Bombyx mori: one gene and its partner. The protein of the gene in region 2 interacts with the protein of the main gene of each other region in a biochemical or structural test. Links are inferred from orthologs where the notes say so. Each region holds a gene or a part of one and is shown on either strand. Other genes may lie near its edges.

Region 1 (17,269 bases), on a different chromosome or scaffold from region 2:
ATTAGCAGATGATGACATGAATAAACGATTGATATGTAGTACCTACTTATCTACATACACGCTTACCTAATATTGTTTAAAAACATCGAATGACCAAATGAAAGAATGAAAATAGATAGCACAAGCCCCTTTGGCGTTACAACATCGAATGGAACTTCAAGTCCTATAGGACAAAATCTACACTACAATAACTAACATCAAGTACCTGTAGGGTTAATTCTAGCACGTGGACCATAATGAAAACTCGACAATTAATAAGTAGTAGATTATTCGTCTAATAGGCCTATTGTAATAACAACATGAACATAAATGCTACTTTTGGCTCAATGGTCCATTTATGTAAAACACATTTTCATAGGGTATTCATATAGGTATTTACGAAGCTTTGGCACTTAACCGTAGTATATTATTAGAACATCTTTTTGTACAACTTATCGCCATTTGAATCTAGTCATATGGCTAATGTAGTACATACGAACTAGGATTATATCATTAAATTGAACAAATTAAAAATGAAACTGTGTAATCTCGTCGCGGATCACGGAAATTGTATCCGAAACGTCTGAAATAATTAGAAAATAAAAAATGTGAGGTTAAAACGAAAACTGAAGAAAATGTTAAGTTGAACAAATTAGGTAGGTACATAATCATACATACAACCATAACTGTGGCTTTCAAAAAACAAATCTTTTAACTGTGAATTAGTAAATTGAAGGCAGGCCTGTTTTTTATATTTCACTCTCGGAAAGTATTCGAGAGTCCTGAGATTTATGGGTTTTATAATTATTGTGTGACTATCAACAAACCGGTTGTTATTCAATGTAAATTAGAAATACATATAATCGAACAAAACCCGGTTCGGTGTGTTGCCTTAATCACGATACCTTTTGCGTCATGTTATTTAATAAAGATGTTCCCAGTAATGTAACAATGGCAGGAGCCCTTTTATCCTACTGCCTAACGCCTCCAAGAGGTTAAGGACAGCTCTAATTAAAAGTAAATGTTCGAAATGAATCTTCACTAGTCCTGTGCAACTTAAGTATTAAATAGTAACTAGGTATGTATATAATGAAATGAAAATATTGACGAGCTACATTTATTCACGTTTTATCTAATTTAACATCCGAACATCATAAGACTGTGTTACAACCCTAACTAACTATCTATAGACACATTTATTGATTTAAACACAACATCAATATTATTTAATAATTATATTAGGTACATACTTAAGTTATGGCGGATATTTTTACGGATTTTGTTAAGTTGATGCTTGCATTTTTGAAAATAACGGATTAAAACGGGAAGACACACGTAAATTTCATATTTTTATCATAAGCTCGACCAATAAACAATGGTTAAAATTTGCATGGAATATTTTGACTGTTTTAGTCTAGTCTAATATGTTTCTAGCCATAAATGAACAATAATTTATATAAGCATTGAGCTATCAGGTTCTTAAATTTATTAGCTCAATGATTATAACAAACAAATTTATATTACAATATTTATTATCGTCTTATTAATGTTTCTTTCGTGCCTTTGACGGCATTCTTAACATTTCCATTATTTAAGGATTTCATTATTTGGTTCCACATTTAACAGTCACTATGAAAATATACATACATAATACACTTTAATTAAATCTATCTTAGACTCACATTTCACGCAAATTAAAAAAGAATCACTCCTTAGTAAATCTTTGCTGAGCACAAAAAAGAAAAGCACACATGGCCATTTGCATGTGAATCATCTATAAGTAAATGAACTAAAACAGTAATTATGTATTTGATTCATTTAGGGGAATATTAGAATGATCTTCAGATCTATACCTACCGTTTACTATTCGCGTCAGTAATATTATCTGCAACAAATGATTGGATAGGTACTGGTGGTTGAACTGGTGGTAGGACCTCTAGTGAGTCCGCACGGGTAGGAGGTACCACCACCCCACCTATTTCTGCCGTGAAGCCATAAAGCGTTTCGGTTTGGAGGGTGGGGCAACCTTTGTACTGTAAAAAAAGAAACCTTAGAACTCATATTTCAAGGTGGGTGACGGCATTTACGTTGTAGATGTCTATGGGCTCCGGTAACCACTTAACACCAATGGGTGGGTTGTGAGCTAATGCACCAATCTAAGCAATAAAAAAAAGGGGTCGTGAACTCGTCCACCCAACTATGTAATAAAAAAATATGTATGAAAACCTATTTTTATAAATTAAATCTTCTAAATGCTTACACTGCGTTTGGTATTAACATGTCGACATGTTTCAGTTTTCTATTACTATTTTCCAACAATATTATACTACGAGGCAAAGGGTACGTATTAGGTTCTTTGTTTTTTTTGCAATTGAGGCGAGGACGAAAGAATCCTTGTGTTAAGTGGTTGCCGGAGCTCATGGACATCGTTAATGCCACTAATACTTAAAAATCAAACGGATCCATAACAGAAATACTGACAGTTTCGCCGCAGAAGTATGCAGATGGTCTTTTCTACCCTTGCCGGTTCGCAAACGTCCTAAAACTAAAACCAGTGAATTATTAATAGTGGTCGATGTACTTAATAATTAAACAAAGATTGGCTATATAAATTTCGTATGTTATATTAGTAGACATTCAAATTTGTCACCATATTCGTAAACAGAAAGAGGGTACGGTATACCCACTTAGTTCATATTTAGGTATTTTATAAATGGCAGTGTTAGGATCTTGCGTTTTCGGTCTATCGATATATTAGACTACTATAGTTTTAGGTAGGTAAGTAGGTACATTACACGAGATGGCTTGAAGTTTGAAGGAATAAGTATCAAAGAAATTGATCGTATACTAAACTCTATGAAAAATGGCCGGACTGATTTGAAATAATGGGAAAAATATGTAAATCTTTAATATTAAATCATTGAATAAGTATTCTCTTTAGTAAATGTTTTTTTTAATGATTTAACTTTTCATATAGCTCAGATTTTTTAATTACAGTAGAACAGAGGAGCCCACGGCCGATCTGGTATTAAATTGTTAGCAGAGTCGTTTGTTTATTTATTGTAACATTCAAAACACCACTCACCTTGAGACGTGAGGTAGATGTCTCTTCAAATTGAGTAAGAGAGGCAAAAATAGGCAAGTTGGTGACACCGCTCATGCATATTTGCTTTTACTTTTAGGAATCGATTATTAGGTTAATAAAATAAAGTTACTACTGTATTTTTTGACTGAGCTGTAAACGGTACAAATATTATTAAAATGAATAGAGGCAGGCAGGAGAATCGACTGAATGTGGGTAAAGGCTTGGGTCTACGGGTACTTTATTTTGTATAGTAAGTTCTATGGGGAATGTTCTGACAAAACTATTTGAGCCGATCCCGTGATATCCACTCACACAACACGCTACTGGACTAAAGTACTTCCTTATTTCTTGGAGAGTTGCATTGTTTCAGAAAGCAATTCAAGACTTCAATGATGCTCAGTGGAATGAGCCCCTTTGGTGTGTTCCAAAAGCTACCACTTGTCCTTGTTCGAACAAGGTTTAGTTTTACTTGTTTTAGTAATAAGTGCCTTAGCTGTGACTCTGGCATTGTTGATGTCCACGAGCGGCGATGACTACTCATCATCAATTAGGCTGTGGGTAAACTGGAGAAATATTAGTATGTATCTAATGAAATGACAGTTTTTTTACGCTTTCTTATTTGAGCAGAATTTTAGATGGTTAATTAAGATTTGATACAGTGAATTATTTGTACGTTACAAAAATTAGTAGTTGAAAAAGTTTTACAAGATTTTAACATAATTATTATAGCCGTAAATATGCATGCGTTTAGATCATTCAAATCTAGAATGAGAATACACTAGTTAGTATTCAGTGCCTACGACACGAGTACAAACACTATAATTTAATTGGAATCTTAGATAAAAGAGGTCTTACTACGAGATTACGATAGAGTATAATTATTAAATGATAAGTAGGTAAGTAAATAGATTTATTATGTTTTTTTTATGAGTATGGTAAAGGAGCACGGCGGGCCGGTCGTGCGCCAGTCGCGGGTTGTCAGAAGTTGCTGTCAAAGACACCCATTGATCTGGAAATTTCTTCGTCGCGTAGGCAGCAATCCAGAAATTCGTCCAATGTTAGCACACCATCGCGATTCAGATCCATTTTCTGTAACGTAAAACGTTTTTTATGAAAGATTTGAAATAGGTAATAAAGTGTTCTTCCAATTTTACAACAACGATTGATCAGAAACGATAAATTTTAACAAACATTATATGAGTTGGTTACATATACCCATTGTTTTTTTTTTAATATTCACTGAATCAACATGCAGGCAGGTTGTAGAGTGCTTAAATATACTTGTAGCATTACCTTATTAGTAACTTATTGCTTAAAAATATAATAAGAAATAATATTCACCTGGAATAGTCTTTCAACTTTATCTCTAACTACGTCGTCATCGACGATGGGTTCAACGATCTTGCCCATGAGATCGTATATCGCTGAAACAATTTCTGTCATCTCTTCTTTGGTAATGTAACCGTCGCCGTTAATATCATATAAAGAGAAAGTCCATCGCAGCTTTTCTTCCAAAGTTCCCCTCGACAGGATCGATAATCCAGTCACAAACTCCTGCAATTAACACAGATTTGATTAGAACTTTTTTAATTATCTTGTTTCAAGCTGTCTACTAAGTAGAACTCTGCTTTAGGTATGTATTTATTAATATTTATTAACATTGTGTTTATTAGTGTTCATGTATACGGGAATACAAACATGTTAATATATTTCCTTCTAATAGTTAATATATACACGTTTTTATTATTTTTATTGCTTAGTTTGTTGGACGAGCTCACAGCCCACGTGGTGTTAAGTGATTACTGGAGCCCATAGACATCTACCACATAAATGCCACCACGCACCTTGAGATACAAGTTCTAAGGTCTCAGTATAGTTACAACGGCTGCCTCACCCTTCAAACCGAAACGCAACGTGGTTCTAGTTCGGCATCATTTGTTTCTCACCTCAAAACTTAACAATCCACTTCTGTCTTGGTCCAATGTGTTGAATACATAGTGCGCGTATTGGGCGGTATTAGCTGAAAAGAAGATCATCATTAAAATTAGATTTGTAATCTAAGGTTGGTGATTATTGACAGAGGACTTTGTTTATAAAAATATAACTTTTATAAAAAAAATGTAAATCCAACCAAGGACTCTCTCTGTCCACCTGCTGTTAACTGGCTATTGGAGGCCATGGACACCATAGCCAAAATGCTGCTTATCTGATTTTCATTTTGAGATAAGATTAAAACCATGGTACAGTAGCTATTCATACTTTGAAACCGGAATCATGTCGCGGCAGAAATAGGCAAGAAGATGGAATCCGTGCGGGCGTGCAACATGCCCTACCTAGGTAATTCGCAAGTAGGGACTAGGGGAGAAAAAAGTTGAGAATAATATGAATATGGGTGGATGATAAGGAAGCAGTCATTCAGGGAAGCCAAGGTTAAATAGGTACCTATACCTACGTATTTTCCGATTATTAGTTAATATTTTTATGATTAGGCACAAGATCCACTGACCAGAAATAACAAGAACACAATTTGGATTGCGAATAAAAATGTTTACGTTCATTTATGTTGTTATGTTATGTATGTTGATAGAACTCAGTGTATGATGTAAAATAAATGTACCCACTGACAAAGCTAATGCGCGATTCGATAGTATTTCTACGATACACAAAACTCCTAATACCTACCTAAGCTGAGGTAAATGTTAAAAAATCGGTTGAACAATTATGTAACAATTGTAATGCTACAGTTAATATAGTACTTAGGTACTACGTATAAGAATACTATAATAGATACATAATATATGTATTCTTGATTTATTTTATCTGGGCGCCTGATAAATTAACAGATCATTTTTTTTCTGTACAGAAAATAGACTGACTGCAATTCTTGATTTATTTTATCTGGGCGCCTGATAAATTAACAGATCATTTTTTTCTGTACAGAAAATAGACTGACTGCAATATTATTACGTACCTACCAATGAAAGTAGAATAGAATAACTAACAATGATATGGAGTTTATTTTTCAAAATTATTTAGTTTTTCGTTTTAAGTATAGACTATAGGTACAATATGATTTCTTCATTGAGTTAGATTAGGCTGACAGTGTGATAAATAGTACATTGTTTCGCATTTACCCTCCTTGGCAATAATAAAGCTGCGGTCGGCAAAATATCAGAATAGAAATTAATTGGAGTCAGGTTACTAAATAAGGTAAGCTAAGGAGCTAGCTGTCACAACGGAACTATGCTGGAGAAGTAATGTCGAGATTAAATTTTTTTTTATTATTTTTTGTTAGACTATTATTCATAATTAAATCTACCTGTCCTGGTGAAACTGGAAAGGCCTCCGGGCCACCAGTAATACTTCATTAAAAAAAAAAAAAATCTAGATCAGGCGGCAGTATTCCGCGACCATTTGTCTTGTTTAATTTTTTTTATTAATTTCATGAAGGTATGCTTACGTGGTGACACATCACATGTATACTATTTCCTTGATTTAAATATAATTCTTTCAAATTATTTTACTATAACATAAACATGAAACACTTCTTTGAGATCGATCGACCAAAATATTTCACATAAACTGCATTTTGTAGTAGTTAAGTTTTTTCGTGAGGGCACAAAAGAAGCCGCTTCGACTAATCATGAAAAGATACAGGTAGTTAAAACGACTTTTACGTGTCTTATGTGGCCACGAAAACTGTAAAGTATAGGAAACGTCGGAAAAAATGTAACCATAATGCATAAAATGAAATATTGAAAGTAGTTTTAATTATATCTACGACTTGTGAAAGCAAATAGGCGACACAGGCTTCGGAACTGTTTCTGCTGCCGTATTACATGTGAGCACATTCCCAGCGGCACCCTTCTATCGTGCAGCAATTTTGTTTCGATTAAAAAGGTACGATGCAGTTTTTTAAATAAAATTTACCGATTGCGGCTACATGACACTCCAGTAAATTCATAATACCAACTGGGCAGATTAGACCGGCTTTTCATTTTAAATGCACTTATGTAAATTATGAAGTCATCATTGCTGGTGACTCATTCATACCTATTATTCATGATGATTAAATAGGTTTTTTTTAAACGATTTTTATCTAGTCGCATTTGCTGTATTGGTGTTTATGTGATGTAAGCAGATTGCATTGGAACGTTTTACACGAGACGGGGCAGCAGGCATGACCACATGCTGATCCAGCTTGTGATAAACGAGTTAAAAGATTCAGCAATAAAGGAAAAAATAAATGAAACAGAAGAATAATACATATTACATTTATTTTGTTTCAGATATCGTTGGTTACAGAACTGATGTCGAAATGGACATAGGCCCAATAAATTAGATACCATAATAGGCTAGGTTTGCATTTGCTTTATTACTGCAGCACTACAACAGTCTTGCCTTCGTAGACGTGTCAACTAAACATATCACAATGGAATTGTTGAAGTTACCTACAGCATTTGGTATACTTATAATTTACCTTACCACAAGTTATTTGAGACGCATAATGCTTTGCGTAGCTCGGCTATGCTATTATGTGTCACAAAATTACTTCCTAACACTTTTACAGATACAAATGATGTTTCTTTAAAATTAACTTAAGGTTAGAGCTTGAGACGGGTACACCTCATTGATTTTGACCCATTGGAGATGGTCAATCCTTAAGATTATTAAATTTACACTAGGGACACTCCTCCGGTCTGCTGTTGGTAAACCTCTATTGTGTCGCCCTCTTCCATCTCAAGTGATGTTGGAGTGTCATTCTCATTTATTGGTTGCCCATCAAATCTGAATCGCACTACCTGCATTGATAGACCCTGAAAAACAAAATGATTATTTGTGTAAGACGTCACATAAAATCAGCATTGTTGTTCTTACTACTTAATAAACTAATATCAATGTACGCTTTAACCAATAGATATGAAATAAAAAGTCCGTTATGATTTTGCTATTGAGAATGTGTTTAAATGGGAAAAGACAAAACAGTTCTTGTTACTAATTTTAGGTTAATGTAACATCTATTGACAATATTTTCTTTTATCAATGTAAATATTTGGAAAAGTTAGTTCCTTGTCGATTTTCATTAACAAGACAAAATTTATTTTAATGCAATTTAAATCTTGAGGTATCCGTCGCTAGTCGAATTTCGATCATTGGGTGAACGAAGTTTATAAAAAATAAACGAAAAATCCAATTGACATGATATATAATATTAAGTATTAATTATGATGGGCATCTTATTTGTAATAGTTTACGATTTGAAAATAATTGTAAGTAAATCGATTCACAGAAAACAGGTAGTATTGGTTTTAGTTTAAAAAAACCGTCGTCTTTGTCTAAATTATAAATCGATTTTACTCAAGATGTAGGTTAAGTAGGTACTTCAATAATAAATATGTAATTTACTTACTGCTCTATCACAATAAGCATTCATCAATTTCCTGAGAGGTGTGTGTTTCTTTATTTTGAATTGTACAATTGCGTTATCTTGACCTAATACTTTCAGATTAATGTGTTCGTTTTCTCCCTGAAAAATAAGTTAGCAATTCAATAAGTTATGCCGTGAAAGAGATTTAGTTGTAATTTGAAGATATAACCACACTTTAAGATGTCGCCATGTCGGTATCGAATGTTTTGTTTTATACACTGATAATACGCAATGCACACATACCTTCTTTTCATCAGCCATTTTGAGATTAATGTGGTTCTAGAAACTATTAATACAAAACTGTGAATTGACAAACTGATTTGGTATCTGTTTTCACAAACGAACGCGTAAATGACAGCTTGTGCGATGGCGTGGTAATGGCGTCCGGTCGTAGCTTGGCGGAAAAGGTACAGTGCTGCCAACATTTCACGGTGCAAATGGCGCGCTTCTGCGCAATGAGAGCGTCGAAATGGACTTATAAGCTGCTTGTCGGAATTAAAAGATATCAGAATATCTAGGATTATAAAGGATTGTTATAAAAAAAATATTTAATTTTCAAGTTTCGTCTACAATCCTGTTCTTGTTGTTCCTATTGATTCATAGAAGCATTTTACAGTTTTATTTCTGTAACTAGATTATTTCAATAATAGTACATTAATAATTTCAATACTTTATACTAAACGTAGCTTAAAATCTAGTTAAAAAGCCAATTAATCAATATAACTGCATGTACCAACCTTTCAACAAAAGCTGTTTCCGTTGATAGTGTTGTATCTCTCGATAGATTTTAACGGAAATCGCTAGGGAGGGGAAAAGTCGGTAATTACGTTCCGTTACACGCTTTTTTTATATTCTAAACAGCCAAGATTAAACATCAAATACACATATATTGGTAATATATTGGTTAGTCAAATTATTACCTCTGACTATGACGAAAAAGCATGGGGTAAAATTTGATTATGATTCTTCGAAGTTGTATGTTTCATTATTTCAGTGTAGGAACAAAAAGGGACCAGTGTGCTTAGTGCCAGTTTCTTAACGTTCTCGATAGCGTAAAAGTTAATTCAAATTTGTATGGAATTGGAGCTTTTGCCTACGTTTGCAGCTAGAGGCGCTGTTCCAACTGCATACAAATTGGTGTTAACTTTTACGCTATCGAGAACGTTAAAAAACTCGCACTAAGCACACTGGATCCAAGATTATTATTATACTTGCTGAACTTGGAGAAAAGTTCGATGTAAAACTTAGCTCATCACATCAGCTCACTGATTTTCTCAATTATTTCAGCGGCTCGCGATTCCGATCCGGTGGTTGAGGCACATACGAAGTAGCTACCATCGACCTCTTTGGTCTTCTTCGGGAGCGCTTGAGCAGTTTGATACAAACTCCACCCTTCCTGTTTGAACCTGAATTCGTCCACCCGCCAAAAATAGGGTAACTAACAACGTACTCTCTATTTCCACGATTCAAAGAACAGGAAAACAGATTATACTGATTGTATATCTCATATAGCATTAATGCGGAACTAACTTTTTTTATTACTTAGGTGGGTGGATGAGATCACGGCCCACCTGATGTTAAGTGGTCACCGGGGCTCATAGATATCTACAATGTAAATGCCACCACCTACCTTGAGATATGGGTTCTAAGGTTTCAGTTTTACAGTACAACGGCTGCTCCACCCTTCAAAGCGAAATTACTGCTTCATGGCAGAAATAGGCAGAGTGATGGTATCCGTGCGGACTCACAGGACGTCCTACTACCAGTAATTACGCAAATTATTATTTTTCGGGTTTGATTTTTAATACACGCGGAAGTCAATCGTGAGCATTTGTTAAGTACGAATTTCATTACAAAAATTGATACCTGCCAGCGGGATTCGAACATCGTTACACCAGCCTACCACCACAGCGTTACTACCACCACATACGAATCCACCAGACGTCTTATTCTTTAGGCCACAACGATTTCATAAGCTCCATAGCTCTTATTAAGTTAATTCAAAAGTTTGATGTCAGGTAAAGTAATATTAAACGAGATTTTAAAGGTCATCGTCAGGTATCGTTAGAGTCTAAGATCACTCAGATTTTAGGGTTGGACTGTCTATAATTTCCCCTTGGCTTACGACCTATTCCAACTGGTAACAAAGCCTACTCATATTTATATGTCTATCATCAGGGAGTTCTGAAAACGGTATCACGATTATGAGACAGTAAGAACGTGGCTCTCATGTACCGTCGTACGTTGGTAGTATATACTATGACAAAACCTTTGTCTAAAGTACTAACCGGCCCATAGATACAGCCCACTGAGTTTCTCGCCGGATCTTCTCAGTGGGTCGTGATTCCGATCCGGTGGTAGATTCTGCGAAGCACTGCTCCTGCTAGGGCTAGTGTTAGCAAATTCTCTCAGATTGAGTCCGTGAGTTCACGTACGCGTTCGGGCGTAGCTAGAATAGCCTCTTATGTTACTAGCGAATAGGTAGGAGTACCAACAGAAATTGTACGAAGTTTAACACAAAGGGATAAAAGACGCAGGAGGGTAGGGAGAGAAAAAAAGAGACAAAAATACCAACATTTTTGTTAGTAAAAGGAAACTTTACCACCAAATTAAATTAATCTTTATAAATTGTGATATCATTACAATTGTTTTCGCTTTATAAGATTTCAGTGTCTTAATAAAAAAAAAAAGCTTACAAACAACCAAACGGTTGCTCATTTACATTTCAACACGTGAGTACGGCTCTCGTTGCTGTTAATAAAATGGACATTTTTCAAACATGTGGTTTTTATGGGCAACGATTGTTGTTCCCGTGCAATGTTTGTGTTGCGCGTGCAGATTTGTAGACCATCGTCGTACTGGGTTCGCAGCGATAACAACCGGGCCAGTTGCGAATAATTGCTAAACCGACGAATAATTCTTTTTGGTACAGATTTAAAATATGTACGGACGTGATTCGTTTTCCGAAGCATGTCGAATAATAATTCGTTCGTTTTAGAGGGTTTTTGAGATTTACGGCATAATTTGGTTTTGGTCTTGTTCCTACAGTTGAAATAATAAGATACTACCCTACCATAAATAGAAAAATAAAAGTATTTACTACATTTAATGAAATGCCTGGTTCATTAAAAACGAAATGTTGCTGTCAAGTTTACCGTTCGTTTTTGAGTTACGAGGATAGGAACTTTACTAAAGTTCCGATCTTTTTTACATCAACTAAATTGTCAACTAAGTAGTCATTAAACTACTGATCGAAACACTCTAGCGACCCTGTTCGGTTTTTGTTATTACCAATATATGAAAATTATTATTTAAATTATATCAAGGTTTTTTTTTACACATGCTGATATATACATTTATTCTCAAAGACTCAGTCGTTGACTTTAACTTTTTTAGGAACACGACACTATTTTAGGAATACAAAAACCGAAATTCGCATATATTATTCGTACTATTTTCATTTTCCGTAACCCTCACATCTATAAGTAAGAAGCTAATCATAGCCCATGGAGATCTTAAATGGTTACCGGAGTCCATAGACAGCATTAGCATAAATACGGCCACTCACCTTGAGAAATGATTTCTAAGTCTCAGTTCTATAAGTATAATGGCTGCTCCACCCTTCAAACCGTAAAGCATCACTGCTTCGCAGCAGAAATAGGGTGGTAGGATCTACCCGTGCAGGCTTACAAGACGCCCAACTAATAGTAAATATAGACACGATTTTGACATATGATTTGTAGAGCATATAAATCGTACCATACTGAATACGAAGAACTCACACCATCCCACTTTTTATATTATCGTCCAGGTCGGACCCTCACAATTTCCAATACGCCTCTAAAACACTGATATAGTCATTAAGGAGGTAGAGGTTGAGTTAGCTTCCCTACAATCATAAAGTTTTTTATTGCTTAGGTAGGTGAATGAGCTCACGGCCCACCTGATGTTAAGTGGTTACCTGAACCCACAGACATCTACAACATAAATGCCGCCACGTACCTTGAGATAAATAGTTCTAAGTTCACCGTTTTTATAGTACAACGGCTGTCCCACCCTTTAAGCCGAAACGCATTACTGCTTCACGGCAGAAATATAATGCTTTTCAAATAAGAATGTGCATGGACCTGCGCCATATTGTGACGTCATAGCTGTCAAATCGAAAAAAATAGTTGAAGTCAGTAAAAAAAGGTCGGAATTTTTAAATATTTATTCATAATCCAAATTTTCGAGTTTGCCGATTCCACTGATCCCACTGCTTGAGAAATTATGATCATCATCTTCGCCCATCCATAGATTATACGGCCCGACAGTGTTGCAGCCTTAATTTTTATATAGGTGTATTTTTTAAATATAATCTAAATTTATTTTTAATTTACCTCGACCAGTACTCAACATTTCAAGGAAATTATATAGGTGTGTATGGTTCATTAAAACAAACATATTAATTATCAATTGCGGTAGGCAGCAGCTTGGCTCTGCCCCTGGCATTGCTGAAGTCCATGGGCGACGGTAACCACTCACCATCAGGTGGGCCGTATGCTCGTCTGCCTACAAGAGCAATAAAAAAAAAATGTGTGCGTGTACTAGTGTACACACGTAAGAAGTGAAACTTGTTTATGGCCTTATTTTTCGAAAAATGATCTACATGCAACTTTCTAGAAATTGGTTAAATAAAGTTAAATTAGATAAAGTTTAAACAAAAGGATTTTATTATCATAGACATGAATACAAAAAAGTTAAATTAGATAAAGTTTAAACAAAAGGATTTTATTATCATAGACATGAATACAAAACAGATGGCGCGTAACGGAAAAAAGTGACGCGAAACCGAAAAATGTGACGGTAAATTTTTTTCCAACGCCGATAAGGAAGTTTCACTTCAATAAATAAATAAATAATTAGTCCACATAATTATGCAGAAAATTCACTAAACATAAGATTTTTTTTGTTCCTATTCAAATATTTTTACAGCTCAAGGTCATTGACGTGCACATTCTTATTTGAAACGCACTACAGGCAGTGTGGTGGTACCTATCCGCGCGAACTAACAACAAATCCTACCACTAGTTACAAAAAAAAAACTATCTACCATGTCTAGCTAGCTCCTAGATCTGCTCTTGCTCAGTATACATCTACCAGTCACTGCTTTAGCCTTCTTCGACGATGACGCGGTTGTTTTTATTCTAGTAGCAATAAGTCCTTTAACGTGACCAAACTTCCGATCGCTGGCCGAAACCAAAACTCATCACCGTCCTCGTCGAGAACTCGACGTGACATTTAGCCCATAGCATCAACATTTTGTGAATTAGGCGTGTCTGACTATAAAACCTCATTTTGTATCTTCTGTCAAATGGCCGAATAAGCTTATGGCATGATAAGTTGCTGTCGAAGCTTATACATAAAAATGTGATCTACGTATCTGGTAATTTATATATATGATTTATATAATATGTCTGGCGTAAAGAACGTTTGTAAATTAAATTTAACCGATTTAAAAAATGGGGAGGCTATTAACGCGATAGTATTTTTTTATTATGTTGTTTTTTACCTCAGAACGTTTTTATTGGTGAACCGATACTGATCATTAGTTTTTAATCAAATTAAAATCAATCAAATTCTGGTGATTTTCATGTGTTTTTTGAGTTATCTTTAATAATGCATATTTAATTGAGTTCGACTGTGTTGATGCCAATCTTATTTCATTTTGTTGATGTCAGTTTTGTTTTTTCTTATTATTTTGTATTATCATATTTTAGCGTTTAAGGTATACTTATTACTTAACCCTTATTCAAGACAATTAAATAGTGAATACAGAGAAGAAATAAAATAAGCTTGCTTCCAAATAGAATTTCGAAGCCATTATCCTCAGTATTTCGATGTATTCCGGTGCATTGAGCGCTCACTATTATGCGCCGATGCAGGTAAAATATCGGCCAGAAAATAAAACCCTACGTTGCCCTGAATACGCGGCTATGTAAATACACAATACGTTATTGGAAAATAACGAGAAGACGTAATATATTTTTAACGATCCAGTATTAAAAACCTTCTGGAATCGTGATAATGATGCGGCTTCTCTCCTATACCTAATGTATCAGACTCAATATGAATTACAATGAGGATTTCAGATATAGATACTATCTACTGCATTAGCATTGACTATTTTAATTGCTGTGCAGTAAATAATAAGGATGGATGATAGTATTTAAATTTGAAATCTAACAGAAACGATGTACTTTTTTACTAGGTATAGTAAGAAGTAGACATCACCTGTCACCCTAAGATGTGGAGTCGAAGTGTCAATTGCATAGATATAAGGCTTATGAATACCAAAAACCAGAATGGACTGTTACGCGGCAAAAAATAAGTAGGTTTGATAGATAAACTTTCGCCTTCGAGCTCACTGTACGCCTCCTACCAGTATTTTTTTTCGGTCATGAGGAAATTGCTGGTCTTCCGCCTATGGGTTGAGTGTAGGTAGAGCATGTCGGAGTTGAATCGACTAAAACCTCCTATCGCTTGACGGTTCAAGGAACAGAACATGGGGACACTCTTGGAGGCGCTCGAAGCGGAACCCATTGGGGAGCCCGTATAGGCTGGTGTGCGGCAAGCTGCACCCATGACCGGGTCGGCCGCTGGCTGTGAGCGGCAGGAGTTTTTGGTGAGGTTCAACTCCCACATACCCCATCCGCCGGTCGAGGATCCGGTGATTTTCCGCGGTACAAAAAAAAAAATTGCACAACAACTCGCGTCAGAACCTCGCTTAGAACACCACTAGTGTGTTACTGTATTTTTAAGATGCATATTGTGAAGATGAGCACATTAACAAGTATAAAGCTTTCTTTTTAATAATCTAGTTGGAAATCAAATATTTCTGTCGACAACCCTGCTCGGCTTTCCGGAGCCTACTTAACTTGATGGGGTTATATTATTATGATTATGTGATGCGTTTTTCATGTCCCCATTTCATTCTTTGAGTACGGTCGGCATATTTTATTAGCTTTGTACCCGGGGACACCTTTGACCTTACCTGGTTTATATTTGGTTAAGACAATAGGATTAATTGAATTGGATTTTAGAACAATTTTGAGACTAATACAGAATATTGATTAACCAATGCATTTTAGAACAATTTTGACTCTAATATATAATAGAAGATTGTATATTAATTAACCAATGTGTTATTGCAACTTGTAGAACGTGTGATTTAAAAAGAAACTAAAACATTTATTTCAGTACAGAAACTTAAATATACCAAAAAAAATCTCATTTTCAGTAAGTCAGCCGTTAGTCTAAGATTGTCTCATTGAAGGTAACCAGTTGTGATGCCTAGTCTTCGATAATTGCTTAAAACTGGACCAATATTGTTCTAGTTTGCCAATAAAGAATCTACCAGTAATGTAATTTTGAAGGGAAAGTCACACGAATCTATGATAAATCTGTTGATAACAAGATCATTTTATATTGATGTCCTATTTGTAACTTACAGATTAAAGTTTTAATTATGAGAAATTTTATAATCCTCCTCCATGAGTCGCATTCCTCATGTCTGAGAGTCGTGGCCATCTCCTCCCATTGCGTAATTACTGTTGGTAGGACATCTTGTGAGTCCGCACGGATAGGTACCACCACCCTGCCTATTTCTACCGTGAAGCAGTATTGCGTTTCGGTTTGAAGGGTGGAGCAGCCGTTGCAACTATACTGAGACCTTAGAACTTATATCTCAAGGTGGGTGGCGCATTTACGTTGTAGATGTTTATGGGTTTCAGTAACCACATAACACAACAAAAAAATCCTTCTCTGGATGACGTTTCGCCATCTTCCTCTATTCTCGGCGGTGTGTATGCCATTTTATAATACTTTGTAACAAAAGGTTCCACGAGTAAAACTAAGTTGCAATACTAATACTGCTAAGAGAATATTAAATGTTCCCTTTTGGATTGGCCGCTTATATAACTATCATAGTGATGACATGTAAATTATCACTTACCTGTAGGCTTATGTCGTAATTTATGTTAATCGAATGTTATAGGGAAAGGGTTGCTTTGTAAGGATTATAGAATAAATGAAACACCATGAGAACTTTATTTATAATAAATTGCATAAAAGACTGCATGCGATTTGTAACTGCTTCATATTTCGACTTAAATGAGTTTATAAAGATAACACGCAATGTTAGTATAAATATTGAAAGGCTTATAATATTAAATTGCTCTGAGGAACTGTTTGAGATGATATCATCATCTCGTTTATACCATCGCATCGCCCGCCATTGGAGTAGAGAGTTCATCCATACTACCTGGAGCCACTGCGTTCATACACAGTGCGTTTCCAGAGATCTTTTTTGCCACGTACCATCGGACTTTGGAATGAGCTCCCCTCCACAGTGTTTTCCTAGCGCTATGATATATCCTTCTTCAAACGAAGGCTTGCGGAGAGTATTAAAGGGTAGGTAGCGGCTTGGCTCTACCCCTAGCATTGCTGACGTCCATGAGAGACGATAATCACTCTCCATCAGGTGGGCCGTACGGTCGTCTGCCTCTACGGCAATAAAAAAATAAAAAATAAAGATTACTGGGAACCGCGTTTGGCAATTACTGCAAAAATACTCCAACAAATTGCCTTTTAAGAGAAAATATACCTCATTGGTCTCCGAGAATTTTAGATCCAGATAGTAATTATAAGTATTCAAATTGCTGCTCCTAACTACAGCTTATACTATCGACAACTTTTCAACCGACACCTTATTTTCAAATCAATCAACCAAAGATAAC
Region 2 (17,418 bases):
AAAAAATCAATACCAAAATTTGGCATAGACAGCAATGATCTAATAAAATACATATAAATAAATAAATGTGATAAATAAATAAAATACATATAAATAAAGAAATGCGACCCCTCAATGCACAATCTATTGATATAAAATAATAAAAATATATTATCAGTATTTTAAATTTCTATTATAAGAACAATTGTTGTAACTGTGAAAAAAATAATTAATAATAATATAAGGAATGCCAACAATCAAAATTTTTTGTGGATATCAATTATACCTTTGACTTTATATTTGTTGCCAGAGGCGTTTTGTGAGTAATCTTCGGTGTTAAATGACTTTTGGTTTCTTCACTTTCTTCTCCGGATGGTACAGCTTCCAGGTCATCCTGAAAATTTGAGTCATTTTAAGTTAATTGTTGCACACAATCAGGGCATTTGGTTTTTTCAAAGAATTATGTATTACATCAATGTATAGTTAATGATATAAACTGAAAAAGTCAAATCACTTCGAAGTATATATTTCTTATCAAGAGTTTACATTATATACTAGTGTGTGTTTATAGTAATCTTTATATCAGATTGAAGTGTGTACTTACCTGCTTGAGTATTTTTTTTGGTCTACCTCGTTTCTTTATTTCATGGCCAGGTGTTACAGGTACCTGTTGGTCCTCTACTTTCAACTCCATCTGTGAAAAATATATGCAGATTATTGAAATTTATTTTTATCTTTAAGATATTAATGTATTTCCAAGCAACTTCATTTATTTTTATTGTTTTATCTGAATTTTGTGTTCAGACATTGTTGTGATATTATGTTGTGTTCAATAATTGCATTTAAAACGAAATGATGTGGAAAGTTACTTAATTATTGAACATTTTCCTACTATATTTAAAAAAATAATAATTTTATTTAGTATCAAGAAACATTTAATCCCAAATAATATTTATTATTGGCTGACAAGGTGACATGAATGTGTTTAAACTTATTGAAAGTAGAACAGTGAATGTTGATGTCATAATTTGTTAATTTCTTTCCAACAAAATTCAATGTTTATGTGAATTATGTCTTTGATTTAATAATTCACTTTTATGTTGCTGATTACTTATTCAGTAAGTTTTTATTAGACAAATTTAGAAGTTAACAACATAGTGTGTCAAACAAGATGAAAACTTTGAAATGTAAATAATATAACAAAGGCAATATTAAATTAATGTTAAAGTAAACTAACTAAAAATCTTATCACAGTGACAGTAAACACTTTCCATTCGTTCGGTTGTCTGCCTTAACCAACAAAAAAACCAGAACATTAAAAAGCAGACTTACGACTTTAGCATGTGCATATTTAGATAGTGACTGTACATTCTGTCCAGCTGTGATCCAGGCATTACGTTGTGCTTCTGGCATCCGGCACCACTGCTGATACAGCTTCCAGCTGTTGTCTGTGCTAACAGCGGAGCCTTCTCGAGCAGAAGAACATTTCCATAACAGGAATGCCCACACCTGTGCCTTACTTTCATTCTGTGGAAGTTTAGTTTATTGACTAATGATATAATTTAAACAATTAGGTTTAGCAAGGAATATTGTTTTCAATTACTTATCATACATATTTTGTAGAAAATGTTTTGTACATACATATTTTATAGAAAATATTTATGATAATGATAAATAGGCCATTGTCTGCAACTTAACTCCTCTTCAACTCACCTCTATTTAGGTTGGATTTTTTTTACAAGAAAGATACTCTAATAAACCATCCAATCTGAGACAGATGTCTCTCAATAACAGACCTAAGTAGTAAGGTAGATAAACACTTTACCATGTGCACTAGGTAAATGGATTTCTCATCAGACTTCATAGAGGTGTAATAGCTAATACAGTTTTAAGATATGTGTTTATTTTTACTTTTTAGTGGGGATTAAGTAAGATGATCTTTTGTATCTGTAGTTATGTCAATAATACTTACAACATTTTAGTTACAATATTAAGCAGTGTATTGTAGTAGTGTTAGGTTTTCAATTGAAAAATTTAAAATACAGTTGTATACTCACACTATCCCTTACTGGGGACTTTCCTGAACAATTGGTACCTTCTTTATGTTCTTTAAACTCTTCTACAAAATGGAATGCAGAGTGACACTGCCCACAGACCAGAATATCTAGTGCTGCCATTTGTTCATGAGCATCTACAAAAGTTTTAGCATTATTTAAATTAGTTTTGTGTTTGAAATGAACATAAACTTCATAATCTGTATTTATCTCACCTTTAAGTGCAGTAGGATTTTTGGCAAGTTCATCTGGATTTCCAGGTATCACCTCTTCAGGAGTTTCACTCTCTTCCATAGATGTCATTTTTTAAAATCTGCAAATCAAAACTTATTTCATCTTATCTTTTAGTAGCTTTTCCTTACATCATAACCTTGCTTGCCGGTAAATAGTAATTCCCGCCAACTCATTCATAATAGATTAAAAGCCACGCTTTCAAGTTTTAACAGAACATTGAATGTCTAGTTTAATATTGTCACATAGTTCATTTTTACTATTCTTCACTAGTTCTAAAAACACAGACAGACACTTTTGTATTGGACAAATTATTGTATTTGATTTATCTAGTTTTCATTTCTTCACCACTTATCGTTTTGGGTAGATGATTATGTTTCGATTTACACAAAATTTAACCAATGAAAAAATAAATATTTTAATCGCGTACACACTTATTACAATATTTTTGTAACCTTTTACTTTTTATTTAATGAAATGTCACAACATTACCTACCTACCAAAACAATTTCACAAAAATAATCTTCACATGCAACGCGAAATGCTACAAATCACACCAAGAATTGAAAATTCAATGACCAAAAAAACCCTTTCACCGACACATACGCTACGCCATCTAGTGATTAGCCGACAACGCACGTTTTCTTTGCAAATGGTATCTCTTAAACACCAATAGCAAGATAAAACCGTATATTTCAACCAATGAAATAGATCAGAAAAAATTGTCACGACAGAACGCACTTCAAGTTCACACAAAGGCGACCAGCAACACCGACATGATAATTTAGCCGTCAATATTGACCGACTTTTCTAGATTCATTTGACCCTAGATCTATTTTCAATTAAGTTTGATGTATCATTTCTCAAAATAATTTCTTAAACATTTCTCAAGCATTTCTCAAACTAATTGCATCATCAATAGGATAATGTACTAAAATAAAAATGTTAAACTATTTTTTTTGTTTTCATTTGTAGATTGGAGTCTAAAGATTTTGAATATGAGGTTTATTGTGAGGTTTAATTTGTAATAAAGTTGAGGAATGTGTAGAAATATACCAAAGGCGCAGAAATATTCTTATTTTGTTACCGTCTATCAATTACGTCAATTAAAACACCAAATCAATTTCGTCAACTTTTATGCATTTCAATAGGGTGACATAATCATCATTTTACGTGTCTATAAAAATAATGTTAACATTTACAGCAAAATGTTACGTTACCTACCATTTGCCCACAACTTTGTTTTAAAATCACAGTAAAGAAGTTTTGTAGTTATTTTTTTTTTTAAATTTTGGGGGCACTGTGTAGAAGCTTGGGAGGCGATTTGTAATTTTATCTAGGAGGACTCTTAGATACCGACTGAGCTCTCGCTATAGTGGTCTATAAGTAGGTGATAAAATGGGGGCGCTAAAAAATAATTTATTCTCAAAGTGGGCAATAGACGAAATAAGTTTGGGAGCCCGTGGTATAAAGCATAATCACATCTTTGGCAGAAAAATGGACAACGTAATAATATTTTTATTTCTTCAGCGTTCATACTTGTTACAAAATGCAGCGGATTATTAGACGAATCTGGAATAAACCTGCAGCCATAACATGTCGGTACCTTGATAAAATGTGTCGAAGACCAAGGCCATGATAGGCCAAGGTGTAAACAAATAATGTAATCATCTTTACAAAAAAAATTGTTCACAACTTTGTGTTTTGTTCAACACTCATCCAGCAAACATCACGTAGTAGGGATGAGGACGAAGCCGGTCTCCTGTCTTACTCACTATACATTTTTCAGCCATGTTTTGTTGGTTTTATTTGTGTATCAATCGTAGCTTGCCAGCCATGTTTTTTGGTTTTATTTGTGTATCAATAGTATGCTCAGTAGGTCTGAGAATCATCTACTATCTATTTTTCATACACCTAAGTGATAAGGGTTGTCCACCCCAAACATTTATTTTTTATTTTTTGGATATTTTTTTTTTGGATAAAATGAGGTATTATGTTGTTGAATTATGGAGGGTAGAGGCAAGGAGAACCATCTCAGTATATTAAAAAGTGTCCACTGAAGGGCAGCAAATTAAGATGGCGCCATAGTAACAAGTGGAAAGATTTTAAAAACAGCGCCATAAGCTGTTACACTTCTGGTATGTTCCGATTTGCACTGCGAGCACTGTAAAGTGTGACGTCAAATTAGTATACTGCCAAGCCGTTCCTTTACAGTCAATGAAGTAGGAAACCTATGGAAATGAAACGTCAACCAAAAATTCGCGCCAGTGTGACGTCATCTGGCCACAAAACATGGCGGCTTTAGTGCTGTACAAAAGATTTCAATGTTATCAGGTTTTATCGATAAACGATCTTGGCTCATTTTATTTTAAATATTGTTGAGTATTACTTATTTGTAGAATTTATACTTTAATGGGAAGTAAGTAGGTGTATTGTTATGTGCAAATATGATATGATTTAGATGGGTCAAATCAAAGACAAGTTCGTCCTTCGAATTTGCCAAGTAAACGATATAATGATTTTTAAAAGTTGCTACACTGATTTTATAAAATTGTCGTTTGTCGCAAAACATAAAGATATGGCGTAGTTCAAAGCCATCAGCCCATTTCTAGCATGCTAAATGTTATCGTATTTTAAGTACGTGTTTTTCTTAGACTATTACAATCTATTTTAATTGTTTTGCTGACTCTAAAGTCTGTAACATACTACCGCAGCGCACCCCAAGGAAGGTGCGCCGCACCATTTGAATCACTTTCGCTTAAGAGTGATTCAAATTTTAAACTTATCAAGGGACCGCGTGAAAAAAAAAACACCTACAGAACATTTATTCATTAATTAAAAACGTCATTCCTTGTGACTTCCTCTCTAAAATCATTTAATTATTAAATATTTAACAAATTTACAATAGTGTTTTACTCACTGCGGAATAAAACTATTTTATTTAAATAGTTCCGAAGAGATTTTGTCGGTAGCCTTTTTCCCGAAATATCTAAACAGAATGTCTAAATATGTTTTGATGACATATTTTAAAGTGGTATTTATGATTAGTGTCATGATCAATAGATTCCGACCGAAAAATGGATTTTTCGGATGAGGGCTCCATAATGAATTTAAATACATATAGATAATAGTTTTAGGGCATCGACTTTCTTGAGATCCTATAAAATACGTTTTAATTATTATTTTTGTATGTTTTAAGCATAATAAATTATGAAATTTTATATAATCAATCATATTAAATCGATATCAAAGTCAATAAATAATGTACAACCCAAAACAGACGGCCGAACTGACGTGACAATGACATTTGGCGCGCTAAACATGGCGGATTTTCGGCCTCATTAGACGGTGACGGAGATATTTACGTATATTCATGTTTCATTTTATGTACGCACTGAAATACTGTTATATTGTTTTCCTGCGAGTTAAAGTGCTGAGTAAAAACGAGATAGATATATGTTTATATATGTGCCTTCAAAATGGGTGCTATTTATATAAGCAATTGTACGTATAGAACAATATGTCGTGTCCCTACTATATAGGTCTATGTTTACAGTACAGTATACTGTCATCGACGTTGTCATGGCGGTGTTTTCACTTCAGCAAAAAATCTTGTTTAAATTTACTTATATTTGAAAATAGGCTTAAACTTTCCTTTTGGGTCCGTCGATTTTTGGGTCGGGGTGGGGGTGGGGCGAGGGAGGGGGGTAAGAGTTTACCCCCTGCACCATTATCCCTCCGCGTCTCCGGTTTTTTATATACACTCTAGGGGTAGGGCAGACAAGACCAGGTGGAATGTGGGTGCTCTGATTCGGTTTTCGATATTTTTCGAATATGTTTGCAGTTTTATTTCCAAAACACGAGCAATTTTACTGTTTTATATTTAAAATTTATATAAAAAGTTAGTTTATTACAGAGACAGATAAAAAGACGCCATAAATAAATGCGTCATTTCACGTTCCGTTCCACAGTATAAACAAAATTTTGTTACTTTTTGTGTAAAAAAGTCAATATAATTGCTTATTACAGAAACAATTACAATGCACATTAATTACAACAAATTTACTATGTAAATATATTAAAATAATAAAATATATTTCGGTAAAAACATGACATAAAATTTAACAAAATACAGTCCGCGCGCGAGCTCCGAGGATTTTTAAGGAATGTTGACGTAATGAGCTAGTGTTGTAATTAGTCGATATTGCGCTATCGATACTAACACATCTTAAGCCTCCGTGCGAGTGTAAATTATAAAATAGTTTTATGAGGGTATTATGTACTTGAAATAAAATAAAAAAAAACAACTGATCACGTATGAATTTAATTTAATGAACTGATACTTATTGAACAAAATGAACGTGAAATCTTATTAATTACTCTCGCAATCAGATTAATCAGTAGTTGAAGAATTTGATGTACTCTCCTCTTGATGTCACTCTCCTCACGTACTTCAATAATAAATGATTCGACAACATCCTCCATTAAGCCATCCTTTTGCTAGTAATATTCCTCTAATACTAAGACATGGTTATTATGCTAGTGCTCGCCATTCCTTTCTCATCAAATTATATAGCTTGCAAACAACAATACTTATAAGTGTAAGACTATACTAAAAACACACGTAATTAACATTGCTATCGCAAAATTAAAAACAACGAGTCAGTAAGCGCACTCTCATGTTAAGGTCGACACTAGTAGTGGGAGAGTGCGGGGTATGAAGCGACGGTCGGGCGCGGTGCACGCCCGCCCGCTTCCTCAGCCCACGAATCCTCGGAGCTCGCGCGCGGACTGTAGGTATTTGACTGGTGGGCACTAGGCGAGCGTCAACCATAATTTTTTATGTATTTATTATAATTTGTCAGGCTCTATGTCGTCAGCTACGTATAGCTGGTCATTTTTTATAATTTTAAAGTCGTCATGGCCTGCGGGATAATACGACCGTATGCGGTACCAATTTTTCTGATGAAAAACTTATTTCAAAAATGTTCACGATTGGCTTCCTCGATGAAGAGGATTAACATCGTATAATAATATCAAACTCGCAAAAAATATAATTTGCGTAATTACTTGTGGATTGTGGGTAGGGCGTCTTGTGAGCCCTCACAGGTAGATACCACCACCCCGCCTAATTCTGCCGAGAAGCAATAATGCATTACGATTCAAAGGGTACTTTTTACGACAGTACTCATGTCTGAAAGTGGGTAGTAGCATTTACGATGTTCATGTCTATGGGCTCCGATGACCAATTAACACCAGGTAGGCTGCGAGTTCGTTGACCCACACTGTCTAGAAAACTGCATTTTAGTGCGCGGCGATATGTTGAGGGACCGTCGCATATTCGAAATTGCGGAAAAGGACTAATTGGTTGTTGATTTGAAAATGGGTTATTAAGTGTATAATCTATGGGGTGGGCGTCCCTTAAACTCGTATAACAAAATCAAGTCTTCGAACTCATATCTCTAAGTTAGTCCTGGCATTATTTGGCAAGTTCAATGGGTTCTAATAATAGAAAATACCATATTAAATAGTTTCAGTTATTACTTAAAACTAGTTGGGTCGTGATCGTATAGTTCGCCTGTCTCTCACCTTTTGTATTTTGAGGTGCCTATTCACTACTAGATGGAGGTTTTTGTAGCTAATTTTTAATTATATCTGTCATCAAACTAAATAATGATTGCGTTTAAGCTGGAATAAAACAAATATTTGTTTAACTCCCAACTTTAATGAATATCAGCATGTGAAATGAAATATCTGATGTCAACTAACCATTTTGATAAATAAATAAAGTTATGAATTATTTGTTTTCCAAATAGTTACTCTGAACGGCTGATTAGAAAGCGCTGACTTTGAATAGTGAATGATTGTGAAAATAATCTGAAAAAATTTTAACTTAAAAATACACAGTAAATTGTAGAATTTAAATATTTATTGTTCATTAAGTCTAACATAAGATACAAAAATATTTTAAAATAACATAGATTCGAAATGTAACCGTATATTTTGAGAATTACAGCAACATGTTTGTATATTCGGTTGTAATTAAAATCTTTGATGCTTTTTGCTTGTTAACATTTCTGTTATTAACTTAACAAATAAATAAATACAAGTTAGCCATAAAATGATGAATTCATAATGGCTTCAAAATTTTCCAGAATTAAAATAACTAACATTAGCATAGTGTTGATTTGGTCTGTTATTAAAAACTTGCATTTACTTCAAAATTACTTAAATCTATAGTTTAAACCATCACTGCGTACTGTGTGGATTAAATACTTTTGGAACTGGAAAATACCATGAAGATAATGTTATAGCACAATCTCCAAAATAGCGTAGTGTTGCTGTTTTAATCTCCTGTCTTCACATTTATACTGCTTTTTAGGCAATGGCTTAGCTCATTAACGCTCCATTGTCCCATTCTGATATTTACTCAGCAGCAGCCATTGCACGTGCCTGCGCTCTTACTCGCTTGTCATACTCTAGCCGATTTTGACTGTAACAATAAAATTTTATTTAATATTGAGGCATACAAGTTTTGTAGGTCACAGTAATTAAATATTAGTATCACAATATGTGGATAGTTTCGTGATATATTTTCAGTAATATAACAAATACATATATTACAAAAAAATTCAATTTTTACAAAATTAAACATTATAAAACATAACAGTTCTTTAAATGCAATACGGGTATTGAAAATGTTTATGTTTAACTTACCAATAAATTGTGTAGGCTTCAGCTTGCGCTGGATCTTTTACGTTAGGCTCATTGAGAAGATCTTGAATACCCAACAAAATTTGCTTTATTGTGATTGCTGGACGCCAATCTTTTTCTTCATCAAGCAGTGACAAGCACACCGTACCTGATGGATACACATTGGGGTGGAACAGTGGTGGTTCAAATTTGCATTTTGGAGGACTTGATGGATAATCATCTTTGAAGATCATACGTAGTTTATACAGCCCACCTTCCCATGGAGTCTAAAAAGAAAAACCGGTTATAGTTTTAGAACTTCTACTACCGTAATTTACTATGCTTAAACTCAATAACTTTAAAACTGCATCAATAAGAAACAAGAAGTTTTCACGATATAGAAATACTAACCCCCTTTTTACCAGGTATCGCACATTCCCAAGTCATTAAATTCAATGAACCATCTGGATTCTTCATAGGCCTCGCGACAAAACCCTGAAATAGATGAATAGCTTATTTATTTACGAAAACATAAATCAATGTGTTTTCAACAAACAAAAACTTACAAAGGGATGGTCCTTACGCCAAGCTTTCCGTTCTTCAGCTAAACGTGCACTTGCTATCCCTGACATTTTCTACAAAAATAACTCGATTTATGAGCCGAGCTTCAATCAAGGGCTATTCTTAATGTTGGGCGATAGATTTTACTTATAATCGAGCTAAAACTAGAACGAAATTACAATAAAAATAAATGAAAAAGCGCGAAATAGCGTCCCTTAATTTCAGAGCGGTCGACAAAATTGTAGTATAGACTACAGATAAAAAATGAAAATAATCGATTCACTTTTTTTTCTTTTCTGCTGTAGGAAGTTAATAGTGTTGCTGTTGACATTTAATATTAATTTAATTTTAGCAGTAAAAACGGGTCTTAATTACGACGATAGCCGAAATTCAGTCTAATTAAATGTTTCAAAAAAATTACACAAATATTTATGAGCTGTTTTTAAAATGCAATTAATCTCTCTTTTATCTTTTTTTGCAAATGAAGATACCACAATTAAAATTACTTTTGCGACTTAGGAATGACTCCGTGTTAACGAAAATTGTAAGACCAAAATAGGTATTGGACGAAATGGCTAAGGAAGCCGGACACAATGTAATGCGCCTTCCACCCTACTATTGTCAATGCAATGCCATAGAATCTATTTGGGCGCAAATTAAAGGTAAGGATTTAAATAAATGTATTTAATAATTTATTTTTACCTATTTTAATATTTTATCTGTTGCTATATTAACACGTAAACCTTTATTTTAGATTGCGGCTCGTAAAAATATCGACCCACTTAGGGCCGGATTTAGACTCCGCTCCTGGGCAAAAAATCCGCCCCAATACTGGAATTTTACCAAAAATTATAGTTTATAACTATTTTTTTCAAAATTAAATAAGTAATTTCTTGCAGAAACTTTATCATATGTTATATATTCCAAAAACATAAATAAATATTTGTTTTTTTTCTAACAATTATAAATTTTGCACTAAGGGTGACTCATAAATATTAAATGAAAAAAAAAATTAAATTTCTTTAAGTCCAGAAAATGGAAAAATCGATTATTATTTTAAATGTTCAAGGAAATAAATTGACTAAATAATTTTGATTATGAATTTTTACCTAAAGTGCCAAAATTATAATTCACAAATAATGGATGAATTCAATTTTTTGTATTATCAATTAAACAGAAAATGATTAATTAATAGAATTAATTTCAAAAATTTTACTTCCAAAATTTTGCCGCCCTAAAAAATTGCCGCACTGGGCACTTGCCCCGACTACGCGACTGCCCCTAGTGTAAATCCACCACTGAGCCCACCATTTACTGCAAACAAAATGCTGTCATTGTTGCAAAAAGCTTGTGATAGTGCTACTGCCGCGAATTAGGAAGGTTAGGTTTTACGAACAAAAAATTAGTTTTTCGCTGATTGGAACAGAGACACACATATCGATACCATCATAGATAACCAAATTATAATAAATACCTTGTGTTTTTATCGCCTGAATCCCACTCCCGACTAGGTATCCTTCTGTCGAGGGTGACATTCCGCCCCCGCCTTCACACTAGGACGCCTCTACTCGATGATATGCAGGCGAAGTAAAATGTCCCTTAGAAATAAGGTGACGCTCTACAAAACTTGCATACGCCCCGTCATGCAAGTGTAGTGTTCGCTCACGCGGCCCGCACTCGCTTAAAATCATTCCAAGTTATTCAATCCCGTTTTTGCGGGATACCCGTCGGAGCCCCGTGGTTCGTCAGGAACGTCGACCTCCATGACGACCTGGCCTTAGAGTCCATCAATAAGTATTTGCAGTCGGCGTCGATGCGCCACTTCGATAAAGCGGCACGACACGAGAACCCTCTCATCGTGGCCGCCGGTAACTACATTCCCGATCCTGCGGAAAGAATGGAAAGCAGTCGACGTCGCCCCAAACACGTCATTTCGGATTTTCCCGATCCACTAACGGTGCTTTTACTCAAGCACCGGTCACCGTTCTCGTCGAACCCGTCGCTTGCGACGAAGGGCTCGACGAGTAAATTAAACCTTAGATCAGCCCACTGAGTTTCTCGCCGGATCTTCTCAGTGGGTCGCGTTTCCGATCCGGCGGTAGATTCTGCGAAGCACGGCTCTTGCTAGGGTTCGTATTAGCAACGTCATCAGGCTTGAGCCCCATGAGCTCACCTACTAGCTAAGGCGACGCTGAAATAGCATCTCAAGGCTATCAGCTTAGGTAGGATAAAAAAAAACGCCTGTATAGAAATATCGATTTCGGCTATTGATGATGAATAAGTTCCATCTTGATAAAAATATCATGTAATATTATCTAACTAAATTTAAAAAACAAAGTTTTATTATTGGATGCTAATCCTTTTTCTGTCAATACGATTTTAATTTGTTCGTTAAAGTAATCGAAGATCAATATCGTCGAGTATCGAATAAAGCGGTATTTACTAGTATTTGATATCTGTTAAATGGGACTTCGTAATTGGAACTCCATGGACATACATACCTAGACTTTTTAGCTGGAACGCGAGGACTGAAGTTGTGTGATTTGTTTTATTTGGTCTATTTAGTGTTTCTTCGGGTTGAAATGTGTAATAATGGTGGTTTATTAACTGTTTAATATCTGTGAAAGTGCACAAATGTGGGAAAATAGAACAAAGTCGCTGGATGTAACTTCTCGGGATCCTCCAAAAAGTCCACTGAAAAAATCTCAATAAATGACCACCATTTTACTGAGATTACATTTCATTTAATTTCATCCCAGTTGATTAATGTCTCAAATTAATTATCTTCATTTCATTTCATTCACTCCATATTAACATTTTTCATAAAAATAAGAATTTCAATTAAAATAAGACATGACTTAAAGGTCTTAGTTACCAGGTCATAAAACCCCTTAAAAAACATACATACCTAGCACCTAGCACTTGATTGATAAACCTTGAAATGCAAATAAAAGTTGATTTTAAACTTTAAATTTTAGTAAATAATTAATAATGGCTGATGAAGATGACCCTAAAGAGTATCGATGGGAAACTGGTTATGAAAAAACTTGGTTAGAAAATTTATAGTTGTATTGTTATTATGTTTATTTATTTACGTTTATTTGTTTGTAAATACACAAGGCTAACCTTTCAAAGCGAACTTCCATTTTATTAAAAATCAAATATAGAAACAGTTAACGTTAATGAATCAATTTAAATTATTTTTTTACCTTTTCCTGAAAGACTCGTTAATGTCTTTCATGCATACTATTGAATAGAACATACTATTGTCTGTATTGTTGAATGTGGCTGGAATCTGCAAAATCTTAGCAGTGCAGGACTGGTCGTTTTGGCGGGTCTTAGCTTATATCTAGCAGTCGCCGTCTGCGGGCTGATGATAGATAGATACTGTAATGTGGTAACAGGCAAATGCGATTGCAAAGTAGTCTATTATTATTAAGTTTTTTTTATTGCTTAGATGGGTGGACGAGCTCACAGCCCATCTGATGTTAAGTGGTTACTGGAGCCCATAGATATCGACGTAAATGCGCCAACCACCTTGAGACATAACTTCTAAGATTTCAGGTATAGTTAGGCTGCCCCACCCTTCAAGCCGAAACGCATTACTGCTTCACGGCAGAAATAAGCAGGTTGGTGGTACCTACCCGCGCGGACTCTCAAGAGGTCCTACCACCAGTAATGACAGTTATACAGAGAGCCTATTTTTTATTTTGCTAAACTACAGATAAACTAAATAAAACCTGTTCAGATATTAACAAACACGACGAGCGATCATCTTGGGCCACCATTACAAATTCAATGAGGCCTACACACAGCAAATTACTGGAAATCTTTAACTTTAACCTTATGATTTCACCATATTCTAAAAAATAATGAATATATGTTATAAAAATAAAGTGTAATTACAAGTTTGTTTTTGAAAATTCTTCATAATACTTTAATTTACTCTGATTACTCTTTAGTTTTACAGTTTTTAACATATATGTTATGTGTCTATTGAATCATAAATTAAATATTTATGTGTAGGGAGGCTATTAAAGAAGATGAAGATGGGTTGGTTGAAAGCCTGGTGGCTGAATTTGCCCAGAAAGCAGCACGTAAAGCAGCTGCTCCTCGTAAAGGTCCAGTCAGACTTGGCATGATGAGGCATTTACTTTTAGCCATAGATTGTTCTGAGGCTATGAGCTCCCAAGATTTGAAACCTTCACGGTTTCTGTGCACATTGAAGGTAAAGAAATATCTTTTACCTTCATAAACTGCTAGAGGCTGAGCTGTATGCTATTAAGTAGTTTAAAGTTTATTAGATATACCTGGTGTCTTTGTATTGTAACTACCATTTGAGTAGAAGCATAAAGGTTGGAAGTTGACATCCAGATATCATGGCTAACACTTCATATGCAGTGGCCATTGGCTAACTCTGTAGCTTGATTAATTGTATTCAGTTCATTTCAATAGAGATGAATGTCTCCATTCTTTTTTGCAATACGGACAACTGGAGTAGTTTACTCAGAAAAGTTACAAAGCAGTCCTTCAGTGTTTAACCAATTGATTTTGTTTCTCTGTCATATTTCTATATCTATATAACTATAATTACTTGTATACCATCTATGCCTTTGTTTTGTCAGCTGGCTGATTTTTTTTGCATGCAATTTGTAAATACTATAATAATATTTAACAGTGTTTGAACTTCATCATGGGCATAGTTAATATTCTTCACAGATAGACAGCATAGGCCATGATATAACAGCTCCATGGTCACAAATGTTTGCGAGACGTAGGGTGTACCCCCATTAGTGAGAAGAAATCATGTTCTAATGAAGCTATAAATACAATTTTATTTAATAAGTTTAATCTGTGTATATTTCTAGTTGCTCGAGAAATTTGTTGAAGAGTTTTTTGACCAGAATCCTCTCAGTCAGCTTGGTTTAATAGCAATGAAGAATAAGAGAGCTGAGAAAATAACTGACCTATCTGGAAATGTCCGGAAACACATTAAAGCCATACAAGGGCAAGTATTAAATTATTGTTGTATTTATTAATTTCAATATATTACTTTTATTAACTTGACATTAATAGTTTTATCGAAAAATGATAGAAAAATCAATTAAATATGTCATATAAACAAAAGCTTTTAGTTATTTGAAAAAATAAAACAAAAAGTTCTCTAAACAGTTTATCCAACACTCCGCTGACTGGAGAGCCATCATTACAAAATACGCTAGAGCTGGCTGGGCGAATCCTAAGGCCTCTGCCTGGACACGCGTCAAGAGAATTACTAGTGCTTTTCGCATCCCTTACAACTTGCGATCCAAGTGATATAAACACTACCATAGAAGTAAGACAGTTTTGATTATTGAAATGCCTTATTTTACTTTTGTTGATCACCACAGATTTGTTAAAATAGAAATCCGTAAAGATATTTAACATGGTTCCACGACACTCCATAAAGCTCAGTTTTTGTTTAGCTTTAACAAGTTCTTTGCATTGCTGATGTCCACTGGTGACCTGCGCCATTGACGATCAATTGAGACAGACTTCTCCACTTTATATGGCAAGTAATACTAATAATGTTGTGTTAGCATTTTAAATCCAAAACTTGGTATTTCAATGAAAGTTTTGTTTGTTTCAATAACCTAAAATAAACTATACTGTGAGATAATATTTATTTATTAGATTAGATATTTAATTATTTTTATCTTTTTGTAGACACTAAAAACAGATGGAATTAGATGTTCTGTTATTGGTCTAGCTGCTGAAGTGCGGATTTGCAAAAAAATGTGTCAAGACACTAATGGAGATTATGGTGTAAGCTATTCTCTATTGATAATTTCGCAGTTTCGCTTTTGTATGTAAGCATTGTTATTAAAAAGAGCTTATTTAAGACTGCTTTTATTTTTGAACTAGCCGCTAAGGACTCTTTTTCTGTCCCACTATTTGATATAAAATGTTATAGTTACGGAATTTGTTATTGATGTTGTGATAGAATATGCCTTGTAGAAATTATCACGCAAGAAAAAAAGTCCTCCATGCTACTTTACTCTTTCTCTTTATTTCTTTCTGTGAGACTGCGGTTGTTGTTCTGTGTACGTGCATGTGGAGGTGCGTTTATCGAGATTCCAGTAGAAGAGTATTATGCGAGACCAATTGAATAACCTCAATATTTTATTTACCATTTTTCTAAAATAATTATGTATGTACATAATATAAAAAAAAAATATTTTTTCTTAAAATAATAAATGTATATTTTTGTTAATAAGTATTTATTTATTTTATTTATACTTATTGTACACAAAAGAGAAAATACAATAAAAACAGATTAAAAAGAATGTCTAAATACTATGTACCTACAAAGGCGAGCTTAACTCATTCATGAGTTTTCTTCCAGCAAACCATTAGCAGAGAGAAATACGATGCATAAGAGGGGAAAAGTGTACAATATAAAAGGTATTAAAGCATGACTGTTAAACTCAGGTTTAAAAACAAAAGTACATACATAGTTCTTTTATTTACTTCTTAATTTTTTTTTTGTTAGTAAGCCAATTTGCTAACGATGTACATAATATGTTTTTAGGTGGTATTAGACGATTGTCACTACCAGTCACTGCTACTAGAGTACACGTCGCCGCCGCCCCGCGCCCGCTCGTTGGACGCGGGCCTGGTGAAGATGGGCTTCCCGCATTCAACGCCGCTCGAGGAACAAGCCGACCCAGGGGCTAATGTCGATCCACCTATTACTGTTTGTATGTGGTGAGTTCCGTGTCTTGCTTAAATTTTAAAACTTGAGAAAGAACGAAAGAAACGCTTAGCGTAAATCTAAACTTTCATGAAATGCGTTTGTCTGTAGTGTTATTATTTTTATCGACCACTTTTCTCGGCGGAGCCGGTAATTTCATGGTAGCACGGGCGTAAGCCAAGTGCTAATTGCTTGATGTTAATGTTGGTGTGTTATCGTCAACCTGCATAAACTTCCTCACGATTCGGCAGGTGTTTAAAATAGCGGCTTTTTGGAGGGTTAATTAGAGATTTTGTTTGAGAGTGATTAATTTAAGGCTATGGTGAAGATGGTAAGGAATGAGTGTTATTGTTATTATTATTATGTGTATTAAACACTGCCTCGCCTGGGAAGACGGCAAGACACACCGGCGAGGTGGGCAACAATTGGCCGGAGCGTTAGGGACTATTGGGAGAGAAACCGGCAAACTATCCGGGCATTGTCGAGCAAGACTGCTTTTTGCATTTGGGCCACCACCGACTTTTCGTTGAGACCAAGCCTCTCGAGATGTTTTGAGAGGCTTTTAGGGACTTATTATTACTATTATTATTATTTTTTTTATAGATGTGTGGCTCACAGCCCACCTGGTGTTAAGTGGTTACCGGAGTCCATAGTCATTTACAACGTAAATGCCGCTACCCACCTTGAGATATGAGCTTTAAGGTCTCAGTGTAGTTACAACGGCTGCCCCACCCTTGAAACCGAAACGCATTACTGCTTCACGGCAGAAATAGGCAGCGTGGTGGGACCTACCCGTGCGAACCCACAAGAGGTCCTACCATCAGTAATTACGCAAATTATAATTTTGCGGGTTTGATTTTTATTACACGGTGTTATTCCTTTACGTTTTGAAGTGAAACTTCTAATGCGACTTCCAACAAGTTTGCGTTAAACTTTTAACGCTACCATGGAATAGAAAGAGACAGAGCGAGAGTGAATCCGTGGCACTCGAACGCTTGCGCGTTGTATACCTGCTACAGCCAGGGCGTTACCAACGAGTAGCGTCCAATATTTTAATGAAGTATTTAAAAAAAATACCTATATACGTATATCCTTACCTATATATGTAATGATGAAGATGTCGCATCTCTTATACACAGCATTCCTTATTACAAGAGCAATCTGATT

Evidence for each region.
Region 1: of the proteins of ubiquitin-conjugating enzyme E2 (region 2) and Smt3, one has a biochemical effect on the other in vitro, tested with the Drosophila melanogaster proteins (2 studies listed by BioGRID). The link is inferred for Bombyx mori from reciprocal best matches to the Drosophila melanogaster genes lwr and Sumo.

The regions. Positions count from the first base shown.
Region 1 is NC_085129.1:12,054,650-12,071,918, reverse strand, and holds Smt3 (ubiquitin-like protein SMT3), read right to left. Parts: upstream 8,880-17,269; 5' UTR 8,754-8,879; coding exon 8,736-8,753; intron 8,592-8,735; coding exon 8,475-8,591; intron 7,882-8,474; coding exon 7,741-7,881; 3' UTR 7,325-7,740; downstream 1-7,324.
Region 2 is NC_085114.1:7,025,349-7,042,766, reverse strand, and holds ubiquitin-conjugating enzyme E2, read right to left. Parts: upstream 9,757-17,418; 5' UTR 9,590-9,756; coding exon 9,524-9,589; intron 9,453-9,523; coding exon 9,369-9,452; intron 9,245-9,368; coding exon 8,982-9,244; intron 8,758-8,981; coding exon 8,691-8,757; 3' UTR 8,180-8,690; downstream 1-8,179. Other genes in the region: uncharacterized protein LOC101744580, read right to left, coding at 266-373, 584-673, 1,312-1,506, 2,037-2,170, 2,249-2,336; general transcription factor IIH subunit 2, read left to right, coding at 12,510-12,568, 13,545-13,746, 14,387-14,526, 14,691-14,853, 15,225-15,323, 16,090-16,265.